Stegostoma tigrinum: one gene and its partner. The protein of the gene in region 1 purifies or fractionates together with the protein of each later gene. This does not show direct contact. Links are inferred from orthologs where the notes say so. Each region holds a gene or a part of one and is shown on either strand. Other genes may lie near its edges.

Evidence for each region. Proteins that work in one complex are often made in the same cells at the same time.
Region 2: the proteins of dmd (region 1) and sntb1 purify together in Homo sapiens (co-immunoprecipitation; 4 studies listed by BioGRID and IntAct, counting the BioPlex papers as one, with this or other methods). This does not show direct contact. The link is inferred for Stegostoma tigrinum from reciprocal best matches to the Homo sapiens genes DMD and SNTB1.

What each region holds. Positions count from the first base shown.
Region 1 is NC_081365.1:58,610,436-58,616,875, forward strand, and holds the start of dmd (dystrophin), read right to left. Parts: upstream 4,455-6,440; 5' UTR 4,301-4,454; coding exon 4,219-4,300; intron 1-4,218. UniProt on the Homo sapiens protein: Anchors the extracellular matrix to the cytoskeleton via F-actin. Ligand for dystroglycan.
Region 2 is NC_081358.1:38,257,665-38,264,104, reverse strand, and holds the start of sntb1 (beta-1-syntrophin), read left to right. Parts: upstream 1-3,391; 5' UTR 3,392-3,588; coding exon 3,589-3,876; intron 3,877-6,440. UniProt on the Homo sapiens protein: Adapter protein that binds to and probably organizes the subcellular localization of a variety of membrane proteins. May link various receptors to the actin cytoskeleton and the dystrophin glycoprotein complex.

The DNA.
Region 1 (6,440 bases):
AAGCATTATTGCCTAGGGCAAGGAAACCCTCATGATTCATGAATGACTATTTAACATTGCAGCCTATCAAGTGTCACAATCAATGCTTTGAGGATTTTTAAGATCGAGGTGATTATGAATAAGTTCAATTTGATTCAGTCAATTTTTGTCTTGTGAGAACAAAAATTCAATAGTTATGTTTCCAAAGCAAGCCTTGGATTTAAAACAATGCAAAGCAAAGTTTTTTTAACCTTTGCAGGGCCCTCTGTCCAATAGAAGCCTAAAAAGCAAATAACTGAATTTGAGACAAAATTTTACTCCTTGGCAGTTACATTTCAACTGCGTTATGTGGGAGGAATGCATTTGGTTCACCAGTTATAGTACCCAGATGTACACTTTGGCACTCAGGATATTGCTGCTGCAAACAGCAGTAGCTAGGTCAATGATAAAGCAAATGCACACTAATGGAGTTCAAAGGCAGACAATCTCACCTTTGTAGTTCAAATGAGTATTAAAGCAGTGCAACACTGAACTCACAGCCAAAATTATTTGACCTGAATTTGCAAATCTGCAGTGGCATTAATAAAATCAAAATAAGGATTCACATTGTGCAGCTAGAACATACTTATGTGATTAATCCTGGCTTAACAGCAAAGAGATATATTTTAAACAAAATGCTTGCCCCCTCCACCCCACTCCCCTCCCTGTAACTAGAATACCTTTAATAAATGGATATGTTACATAGAACCAAGGAAGTTAGTTTTATAATGATCGTCATTAAATAAAAAGTATGTCTCAAGTAGTTAACACTGAAGGGCATGACAAAAATATATCTGTCTCTTCGTACTTACCGGTGATGTGACAAATATATCATATTAATAATATCACACTATTGTGTATATGATAGAAACGTGTAACTTTGAGCAACATGACTGAGTTAAAAGCATGCATTTAATTATTGTTGGTTCCAATGTATCGATGTTGAAATTGAAATGCTTTGGCAGCAATCATAGCGCATTCCATATTGGAATCATTTTATATCTAGCATTATTACACTGAAACTTTCTCGAACTTGTATTTGTAAATATTTTTGAATTGTATTTTTCTTCCACAATATGTGTTGTATTGTGTAGTTCAAAAGCAAAAAGAAAGAAAATTCAGGCAGAATCTGACAACCACTTGTCAGCACACATGGATTTGACTGGTCAAATTTTCTGTGACACCCTATTGAGTCACTGTGTTCTCAGCCATGGTAAATGTGGTAACATTCTCATATCTGAGTCAGAAGGCTGTGTTTCAAATTTCACTCCAGAGACATGCACAAATGTCTACTATGGACGGAGTGCTGTGCTGTAGAATATAACAAATAATACTTCGCTTAACTTTAATTTGTAAATATTTCTGAGTTGCATTGTTTGTTGAAAATTAAGTTATTGAAACTTTCAGCACAATAATACCAAAGTGACATTATTCTGATATGGAATATGTTATTACTTCTGCCAAAGCATTTCAATTTCACCATCAATGCATTGGGAGACAATAATGAAATAAAAGTCTTTCACCCTACTGCCAGTCAGTTTTGATAATATGCCTGCAGCTCAAGATAAACATTCTCTCTGATTACAAAAAATTATACTGATCACAATAATAGCATCATGAAAGCGTCATTACCACCAGGGGAACAGTCTTATTTTTGTACATGACAGTCAATATTTGCTTATTATTATAGAATTGCTAAATATCAAATAAAATTGACTGATCCAATGGAGTTGCTTCAATGATTTTATATCTCTCTTCAAACTCTCCTTCTAAGTAAACTGATTTAATTGCATCAGAAATATATTTCAAATAAATAAACAGTTCTTGAGCAGTCCACTTAATCTAAAGAGATTTTATGTGTAATTTTACAACTGACTCATCACTATAGAATCTGTGTTTTACTTAAGTTGAACTTTTATTCCAAATAACTTTCTAACCATCCACCTGCTATCTCAAAGCAAGGAATATCTGAGCCCCAGGCTTTACTGTTGTTGTCAATATGGGACTGATAGTCCAAAGATGTGTACATGCGAAGAGATTAGAATTTGATGATTTTCATTTCCTTTTAGTTACTAAAGCAGAACAACTTTACCATTTTGTATCACTGTGCTTAAATTCTAATTTAGCTTTGAGCTAGGAATCCACCCCCAACCAAAACCTACTGCCATTTAACCTGGAGAGACTTTCTTTCTTATATTTTGGTAACCTTTTGGTTGGTGAGAAGGAATTAAAAACCATCCAAATCAATGAACTAGATTTTCCAAGCTTAATGCCAGGTTAAGTCTTTGTGGCTCTTCTCCAGTGTGGTTTTCCTTTAAATGTGTTCGGGATACTTCTGAGCTGTGTTTTTGCGCATAGATATTCCTGTATCCCACAAAATAACGATCACATTGGACTCCTGAATGAAATGTAAAACCAGTTTTTAATTGGTGACGGCCTAAAATAGTTTGCACAACTCTCTCAATTCCCGAAGAGCAGGTGGCTGTCTCCACCGAGCTGTCCCTAGCATAACTTCTAACATCAAAATAAAACATGACCTTTCCCTGCTCAAAGTTGAGACTGTTGTTTCCCCGAGATTTTCCCAGTAACTGGCACTGGGCTGCACACGTCAACAGAAGCGGCATTGCCAAATTCCAACACAGCCCTGTGGCTGTGGTTTTCCTTCAACAGCGCTTCATTCCGCGGGATAATGATCTATTCCCCAAAGGGTTTCCCAACACTCCAAGTGCTTTTCTCTTTGAGAACCCAGTTACACAGCAAATTCGGTATACGCCAAGGCGTGGGGCTTAGCGCCATTAGCTGCTTGAGTTGTCAAATTTGTACATGCATTTTATGACCGAGCTCCCTGAAACCCACTCGGGATGAAGTTGCGAATAACTGGATAAAACATGCAAAGTAACTGAACATGTGGCTGCAAGGGAAACTTTTAAAGTAAGCAAACTGTTGGCCCTCTTTTTAATCCAGAAATGCAACACTGGACCGCAAACGAGCTGCAATGTAATAAGGAGTTTACAACCAAGTACTCAGTTGATTTCAACCGACCAGATTTATTGGATATGCTGGAATTTGAGGGTGATCGACAGTTAATAACTGTCAGTTAGGCAACCCATATCTCACTTCCTGCACAGCACAGAGTTCTCCAAAGGGTTTCTATCACCAGTTCGGAACCCACAGTATCCAGACTTTCAACTGGACGCCCCTGGGAGGATGAGAAGCCACCAAGTGTGTCTCACACGGCCTTTGCTATCATTCATGGCCAGCAAACCTCAACCTTCCACTGCATTATTTGAGGGAAGAATCTGTACACTGCAGGTTTCCTTTCTCACACAAGCTCGTGTTGCCGACTTCGTTGCTTTACTTTAAGGCGGCCTTAGTCCCCCGGATTGGTCCATCTCTCCATCCGACACCAGAGAAGAAGCAGGTTCCGGGGACTGCCCTTCTGTTACAATGGGAGGAGCAACAGCAGCAACATACTACCCACTGGCGCCTATGTCCTTTGGACTCTGAAGTAACAAGGTGTAGAGCTGGATGAACACAGCAGGCCAAGCAGCATCTCAGGAGCAGGAAAGCTGACGTTTCGGTCCTAGACCCTTCTTCAGTCCTTTGGACTCTGACAGGCTGTCATTGCGGTATTTAAAGAGACACTACCGCAGTTCAACCCCCGCATTGTATCCCACCCCGACAATCACTTTATGAATATTTCCTCAGTGTTCTCCCTATGGACATCACTGGGAATACATACACGGTCCTACCGAACACACAGACACACACACACACTCACACACATTATTTTATGTCCAAAATGTTGACCTAGCGGGAAAGTTGTTGTTTTATCTTCTCTAGGTCCTGTCATGTTACCCTCACTCTGTCACCTAAGCCCGACTCCAGCTGTAACCATTCTCGGTGAGAGCTCCCGCTGTGAGTGAGCGGTCTCTGCCCATCTCAGAGGAGGGCAGCCCCAACAGGGTCTAACTCGGTGGGCTTCATCATTCCCGGTGCCAACTCTACTCTGCAGCTGCTCAGCCAAACACACACACACACACACACACACACACACAAACACGAGCAATGGTCTTTCCAAACCTCCGGCGCCAGAGCCTTACAGCCTCTGAAAGTTGGAGGTCTACTCTCAGTTTGCCAAACCTCAGCTGGGATCAGTACGGGGCACCGTCCTCTCCAGCCCGTCCTCTCTCCACTTACCCGTTCGAGTTTTGATGATCTCGTTAAACTCGTCTCCAGCCGAATCGTCTCTCGCACTCTCGGGACGCCCAGCTTCTGCCATCGGTCGATGTTGGAGCCTCAGCCTGTGCTCTGTCGGAAGCTGCGGGCAGCGAGATCTCCAGCGCCGCTGGCTTTCAAGCCAGTCTCCAACTCCGGCAGAGCTAGCGCTGTGTTGCAGGGCAGTTCAAGACGGGGCAGCTCCTCCTCAGGCACAGATCAGGGCTGTCACAACTTCTAACAGATACACATCAACAGGTGAGCCTCTCTGTCCCTCTCCCACCCCTCCCCAAATAAATCCACTCCATATATATCAATAATGTGGGGAAGCGGCCCAGCCCGTGTACAGAATCAGCCGGGGAAACCTGACACCCCCATAAATCAGGAAAGGCTACAGTCGGATTGCTCTCCTGACACTGACAGGCTCTCTGTCGGTCTTTAAAGGGACAGTGCCGTTCCCCACTCCCTCCGCCAACGCCATCGCCGCTACAAGTGTCTTCCCCTCGCAATCACTTTATTTCCTTCGTCAGACATTAATTGACAAAACCCTTGGAAAAGTTGGAGCAATAGTCGGTAACACAAATGACAATCTAATAGCAGCAAGCTAGAAGTGGGGTTACATCAAACTTTAAAGAAACCAAAAAGCCGAAAGAACGGCGAATGCTGCAAATCAGAAACGAACACAGAGGTGCTGTGCTGTGGAAGGGTCACCGGATCCGAAACGTTAATTCTGATCTCTCTCCACAGATGCTGCCAGACTTGCTCAGCTTTTCCAGCAACTTCTGGATTTGTTTTTAAAGAAACTAAACCTCCTTAGAAGTAATTTTAAATGACAATTATATTAAAGCAACGATTTAAGTTACAGAATCACAAAGACGTACAGCATGGGAACAAACCCTTCAGTCCAACCAGTCCATGCTAACCATAATCCCAAACTAAACTAGTCTCACCTGCCTGCTCCTGGCTGATGTCCCTCCAAACCTTTCCTGTTCACATATCCATCCAAATATCTTTTAAACGTTGTAATTGTACCTGCATCCAGGAAACTCATTCCACAGGCGAACCAGCCTCTGTCTAAATAATTTGCCTCATGTCCTTTTTAAATCTCGCTCCTCTCAATTTAAAAACATGCCCTCCCTTCTTAAAGTTCCCCAACAACTCTGTCTATATCTCTCATTATTTTATCAACTTCTATTAGGTCACCTTTCAATTTTGCTCTTTTATTTGCTGAATTCCTAGTTTCAGATCCGTTAACTTTGAAATTCTCATTCTGGTCCCCAATCTGCTACAAGCCTCAAGAGGATTCTCTGTTGCTCGAATTCTGGCCTGTTATTCAGCCCTCATATCTGCTATCCCATCATTAGTGATTCTGTCCCCAGCAATTGGGAGAACATTGATAAGAGCAGCAGGTCAAGCAAAGAAGCAGAGATGGCAAGCACCAAGGGTTTGCATAAGACAGCTTGCTTTTCAAACCATGATATAAAAGAATAGTTATTAACTAAGTTGCTGGAATGCAGCAGTTACAGAGTCATAGAGTCATGGAGTAATGTAACATAGAAACAGACCCTTTGGCCCTAACTGGTCCATGCTGACCATAGTGCCCACTCAGCTAGTTCCAATTGCCTGCATTTTGTCCGTATCCCTCTAAACCTTTCCAATCCACGTACCTATTCAAATGGTTCAAAATGTTGCTATTGTACCTGCCTCAGCCACTGTCTCAGGCAGCCCATTCCATATATGCACCACTCTGCATGAAGAAGTTGCCCCTCAGGCCCTTCTTAAATCTTTCCCCTCTCACCTTAATCCTGTGCCCTCTAATTTTCAATTCCTCATCCCTGGGAAGAAGATAATAAGCATTCATCCTATCTATGCCTCTCATGATTTTATACACCTCAGTAAGGTTACCCCTCATTCTCCCACACTCCAAGGAATAAAGTCTTCTCCTGGACAAGCTTTTCCTATAACTCAAGCCTAATAGTCGTGGCAACATCCTCGTAAATCTTCTTTGCACACTTTCCAGTTTAACTAAATCTTTCTTATAACAGGGTGACCAAAACTGTACGCAATACTCCACATGTAGCTTCACTGACAACTAATACAACTGTAACATAATGCCCCAACCCCTGTGCTCAATGCCTCAACCGATAAAGGCCAGCATGATAAATGCCTTCTTCCCCATCCTGTCTATCTGTGATGCTGCTTTT
Region 2 (6,440 bases), on another chromosome or scaffold:
GTTGTAAGGACAAGAAATTGGGCAGTGGTAATCGGGCCAAGAGTGGGTAGTCAAATCAGGAAGGGGTGGGGGGATGGTATGTGAGTTGAGGGGTAGTTTGTCAGATCAATGTGAGTGTTGAGGATGGGTAATCAGGGATTATGGGAGAGTGTGGTGAGTGTTGACCAGTCAGATTAGTGAAGGTGGGTACTCAGGTTTCGGAGGGTCTAGTGATGTACTGGGTCAGTGATATTAGGGTTTGTGCAGCTGGGATAGAGGTGGCCAGGTTAAGAACCTCAGTATTGAAGTCAGTGGGGTTTTTTTTAATATTCATTCATGGGATTTGGATATCACTAGCTCAGCCAGCATTCATTGCCCATCCCTGATTGCCCAGATGACAGTTAACTGCATTGCTGTAAGTCTGGAGTCACATGTAGGCCACACCAGGTAAGGATGCAGTTTCCTTCCCTAAAAACATTAGCAAACTAGATGGGTCTTTCTGGGCAATAGATAATGGATTCATGGTCATCGTTAGACTTTTAATTCCAGATTTATAATGAATTTAAATTCCAACATCTGTAGTGGCAGGATTTGAATCCAGGTCCCTGTGCATTAAAAAATGTGTTTCTGGAGGCTGTCACTTCCCCTCATATGCGTAAGAGGGTGGTCACGTTAGGTGAGGTGTTTGGGCAGTTTTGGTCCAGGGAAGTGAATGGGTCTGTGGGATGGGAAGTTAGGTGTGGGGGTTGTGATTAGTGGTGTGGGGTTCTGTGTAGGAGGTTTGGGACGAATTGGGTTACATTGTTTGTGACTTGATAACAATTGTAGGGAAAGTATCCAGGTAAGTCCCACGTATCTACCCAAAGTTTCCAACACTGACTTCAGTTTAAGGTGGAGTGTCTGACCAGCAGGTATGTGCCTATTGGGAATTTAAACTCGCTGTAACTTCCCGTCATGATTTCCGCTGGGTCCTAAAGTGGAACAGCAATGATGCCTCAGCATTCACCAACGTTGGTATTGGAAAGTCTGATCAATTCAAGGTGGTCAGCAGGATGAGGGGGGTGAAGAGACAAGTGCAGTGGCTTTTGTCGATGTTTGTCCCAAGCAGCTCCATGACACAGGGCACTGTGCTCTATGGTCTGAGACCAACATCAATGCCACCTAGAGGACCAGCAACTTGGTGAAAGATGTTCTTGTCTGTCAGAAACTTGTTAGTCTTCCAGTGCAAGAAATTGTCCCTGACCGAGTGTTGCAGGCTGGAACATCCCAAGGTCCAGGGCTATGTGCTGAGGGATGCGCTAAAGCTTGGGGCAATGGGGAAAAGGCCACTGTCTAAGGTCTTTCTGCGTAAGTACAGTGTGGGTCTGTTCAGCTGTCAGGCCCTCTTGTTGCCTCAGATGTATGTAAATACGATCCTGCAGAAATAAGAAATGCCTCTAGGTTTTGCAAATGCAGAGAATATCAGGTTCCAATGTTTGGTTTTCTTGATATGCAAAGACTATACAGAATTGTTTTTTTGGCTTGAAGACAAGGTTTATTTTTAATTAACTATTTTGTGCGTGTGTGTTTCTGATTAGGTGCATCATTATCCCCTACCTCTCCCTTTTGTCCAGCTTTGATGAAAAGTTGAAACAGCCTGTACACAACACACATTGTGTGGCCAATACTTTGATCCTCGTGAAATTGTATTTTGGATTACTGAAGAAGTGAAACAGCTTTTATAATTAGAGAAATCTATTCCGCCCAAAATTATGTACATAAAGGGTTTTTTTTGTGAATAAAGTTACCCTGTTATAGGAAAAACATAGTTAAAGCGGAAAGCATGCAAAGAAGATTTATGAGGATGTTACGAGGACCAGTAGGCCTGAGTTATAGGGTGAGGTTGGCCAAAATAGGACCTTATATCTTGGAATGTAGGAGAGAGCGGGGTGACCTTATTGCGGTGTATAAAATATTGAGGGGCACAGATAAGATGAATGCATCTGGTCTTTTCCCCAGCATAGCTTTAAGCATAGGTTTAAAGTGAGAGAGAAACGTTTTAAGGACCTAAGGGGTAACTTCTTCATGCAGACAGTGGTACGTATATGGAATGGGCTGCCCAAGAAGATGGCTGTGGCAGATACAATAGCAATATTTAAAAATAACATTTGGATAGGTGCATGGATGGGAAGGGTTTAGAGGGATATGGATAATATGCAGGCAATTGGAAGTAGCTGAGGGGGCACCATGGACCACTTTGAGCCGTAGGGTCTGTTGTCATGCTCTATCACTCGAAGCATATTCTTGCATTAAAAATAAACCCTGTCCGTATCACGATCAGAGATAATGGGAACTGCAGATGCTGGAGAATCCAAGATAACAAAGTGTGAAGCTGGATGTACACAGCAGGCCAAGCAGCATCTCAGGAGCACAAAATCTGACGTTTCGGGACTAGACCCTTCATCCGGAAGGATCTAGGCCCGAAACGTCAGCTTTTGTGCTCCTGAGATGCTGCTTCGCCTCCTGTGTACATCCAGCTTCACACTTTGTTACCCTGTGGGTATCGTGTAAGGCGCATTCTCTCTTAAAGCCACATGGTGTCGTAGTTCTCTGTAGAAACTAACATTAGACAAAAAACAGGTTCCCGCTCAGTTAAGGAATTTCTCCTTGTTTGCTATGTGTGCAATTATAAATTGTGGTAGTTGGTAGGGGTGTGTGACCCTTCCTGTCAAACAACTCTGCTTTTCCTGGGACTCTGGTTCTTTAATAATCTTGGCTTCGGATTCCCTTTACCAAACAGAACAGCACATTGTGCAGGAACAAACCTTGTTTTTATAATCATTTGTGCGTACCTTATGGCGTCCCGGTTCTCGTGTATTCCTCGTTTCATCAGAGGAACAGCATTTGCTCAAGGTATAATGAGGTTCCCTGCTCTTTTATGGTTGGGGCTGTGAGTGGAATCTGGGGCAGGTCTGACAGGATTAAGTTTTTCGGCTTGAAGACAGGGATTTTTAAATTAAAGTGCTAAACTATGATTTGTGCGTGTGTGTTTCTGATTAGGTGCATCATTACCTCTCCCTTTAGCCCGTTTTGATGAAAAGTTGAAACAGCCTGTACACGACAGGCATTGTGTGGCCAATACTTTTGGATCCTGGTGAAATTGTATTTTGGATTATCGAAGGAGTGAAACAGCTCTTATCGTTAGAGAAATCTATTCTCCCCAAAATCTCTCTCACGCTCAAAGCAGGAGGTGAAGCCAACTATTAAAGCCTGGGATTTCCCGGGTCAATTTCAATTTGAAATTTACACCTGACGGCCCACACCTTTAAACCAGTGACTGGTTCATTTATTCTGCACAAGACAATGTAACTTTTAGCGCGATGTAGTTACACTCCACGCCTCCCAGTTCCAACACACACCCTCTATAGTTCACATCAGAAAGTGGGTGGAGATTTTTTTGTTGTCTAACTTGTCCATCTCAAACAGGAACCGAGCTTAAGAATTTCTTGGCACTAAACGAAGTGGAGGGAGGGAGAGAGAAACAGGAATTCCAATCTCCCCTTAAGGGCTACAGCCATTCGGAGCTTTATCAACTTCTGGACCGAGTGGCATTTTAAGAATGCGACAAAGATGGCGTTAGCCGGCAGAGTACAGAGAAGTGGACTGTTAGAAGTTTTGGTCAGGGACAGCTGGCATCGTGTGCTGGCCACCCTGAATCAGGAGAATCTGATCCTGAGCTGTGAGCAGCCTGGGCACACTGCTTCCTGGAATGGACTCACCAACGGAGCGGGCTCACAAAGTCCCCAAGCCGCCTCCCGCAGCCCCAAATCCACGGCCGTACGCAACGCCTTCACCGAACTACCTGAACACATCCCCGAAACTATCAGCAACAAGAAACGGAGCGTTAGGGTCATCAAGGTACTTCCAGTTGCCTCCTGAGAGAATGGGAAGTCTGTCGTCTCCTTCCCCACCCCCCCCTTTTTTTTGCTGTTTGAGTTAATGTATTTTCAGTGATGCTTTTGTTTTGCTTTGTACTTTTGATTGTAAATCAGTTGCACGTTTTAAATTCCATTTGCAGAAAGTTGGCAGTGTTTTCTTGCAGTGACATTTGACATGGGATGGCACTCTGTTTTGCTAATTCCATACGTGTCCCATTCCCAGTCAACAGCAAAACTGCACAATCTCAACGTGCCACAGTTTCATTAGTTGGTCACTTTGACCTTTTTGGTTACATTCGACCTTTCCCAAAAAGGGAGAGGAGAAATGTTTTCGATTTAACGTCAGGATTAGCCCACGCTTGTGTCTGAATCAGTCTCTTGTGACCAAGGTGGGGATTAGATGTTTTGAGCCGTGAAGGGGTTCCAAAAATTAACTTTTTAAATAAAGAAATGGGCAATGAAAGCAGAGTTTCAGGATTCAGCTCTTTCCGCAACAACTTCTGAGTGTGGCAATAATTTCTGCGTTTGCTGTGATTTTGTTTTTCGTGCTTACCTTTTATTCACCGCTCCGAATTAGTTCGGAGTCTGGATTTTTTTTATCTATATATCACTTTACGAGTTCTGCCATTTTTTTTGTTAAAAGTGCCCAGTCATGATTAATAATCGCTGGGCTTGCAGTAGCGCCGGCGAGAGCTCTACAAGCTGTAATTAACCCATCGAATACCCAAGGCTGGCCCCTTTGCTTGGGAGGTGCACTTGGTTGCAGGCGCCTCCGCATCTGTTTATAAATTAGCTTGCATTCATATAGCGCCTGGAACATCCCAAAGTCACTGGTATCAGCTTTTAAAATAAACCATTGCGATCACTGGCCCAATCAGCTGTGACATTAAAAAAAAATCCACATTTATACGTGACTGGCAATTGCCCTGTGAAGGTGGCAAATAGCTTTGGGGGGCACTTGAGAGTTAATCACAGAGGGCCAGGATTAACTAATAGTTCCAAACCAGGTGAAGGTGGCATTTCTTCCTCTAAAGGGCAGCACAGTGGGTTCAGTGTTTAACACTGCTGCCTCAGCACTGGGGACCTGGATTCGGTTCCACCCTCAGTAACTATCTGTGCAGAGTTTGCACATTCTCCCCATGTCTGTGTGGGTTTCCTCCGGGTGCTCCAGTTTCCTCCCGCGGTCCAAAGAAGTACATGTTAGGTGGATTGGCCCAGTAGTGTCCAGAGATGAGGAGGTCAGGTGCATTAGCCACAGGGAGTGGTAGGGGGCTGGGTCTGGGTGGGATGCTCTTTGGAGAGCTGTTGGACCAAATGGCCTGTTTCCACACTGTAAGGATTCTATGGGATAGTAGTGAATCAACTCAACATCTTCACAGCAATTTTCTTTTTCTTCAAAAATGTACTTTAATCATAAAAAAGTACACATTTAGCCACAACGTAGCATATCAAGGAAACAAAGAAATATTGGAATTTGACTCTATCTAACAAACAAACCAACTCAAACTCTTACTCGAACAAGACAAGACTGTGCGTTTGAAGCACAGAGAGGGTCCGATAACTGAAGGGATCCCGACTTGCCTTCGGCAGAGGACCTCAGACTGTGGCCTTTCCCCACTGTACCTTGGTGACAGCTGCCCCAAGCTTCAGTGTGTCTCTCAGCACAAAGTCCAGCACCTTGGAAGGTGCCAGTCTACAACACTCAATCAGGGTCAACTCCTTGTCCTGGAAGACCAACAAGTTTCTTCCAGATTGCTCACCCCTGCTTTTATTTTCCTGATTTTCTTGCTTTTTTTGTTTAAACTAGGATCTGGACTGATATTCTACTGTTAAGTCTAGGTTACTGAGCATCTAAATACGACCAACTTATTAGTTAGGTGGGAGGTATTAGCATGGTTTTAATGTCACTTGTAATTCAGAACGCCAGGCTAATCGTCTGGGCTAATGGATTCAAATCCAACCATGGCAAATGGTGAAAGTAAATTAGGGGAGGTGACGATCTAGTGGTAATGTGGCTGGACTGCTTTATCCAGAGACACAGGTAATGTTCGGGAGACACGGGATTGAATCCTGCTATGGTAGATGGTGGCATTTGAATTTAATAAGAATTGGGAATTAATACTCTAATGATAGCCATGAATCCATCGCCAATTGCCCCGAAAGACCCATGTGGCTCACTTAATGTCCTTTAGGGAAAGAATCTGCCATCCTTGCCTGACATACAAGTGACTCCAGGCCCACAGCAATGTGATTAGCTCTTAACTGCCCTCTGAGCAATTGGAGATGGGCAATAAATGCTGGCCTCACCTGCATTGCACTTGTCATGTGAATGAATAAAACAAACTTGATAGAAACCTACAATAAAAAGCTAAAGACAGCCCCACCTGTCATACTTATCTGCTTTGGCCTATATGTGACTCCGGACCCACAGTAGTGTCTGGGTAACAAGGGATGGGCAATAAATGTTGGCTTAGTCAGCGATGCACAGATGCTGCAAACCCATTTTCAAAACAGTGGGTTTTCCTTCAGTTGGGATGAGGGGTG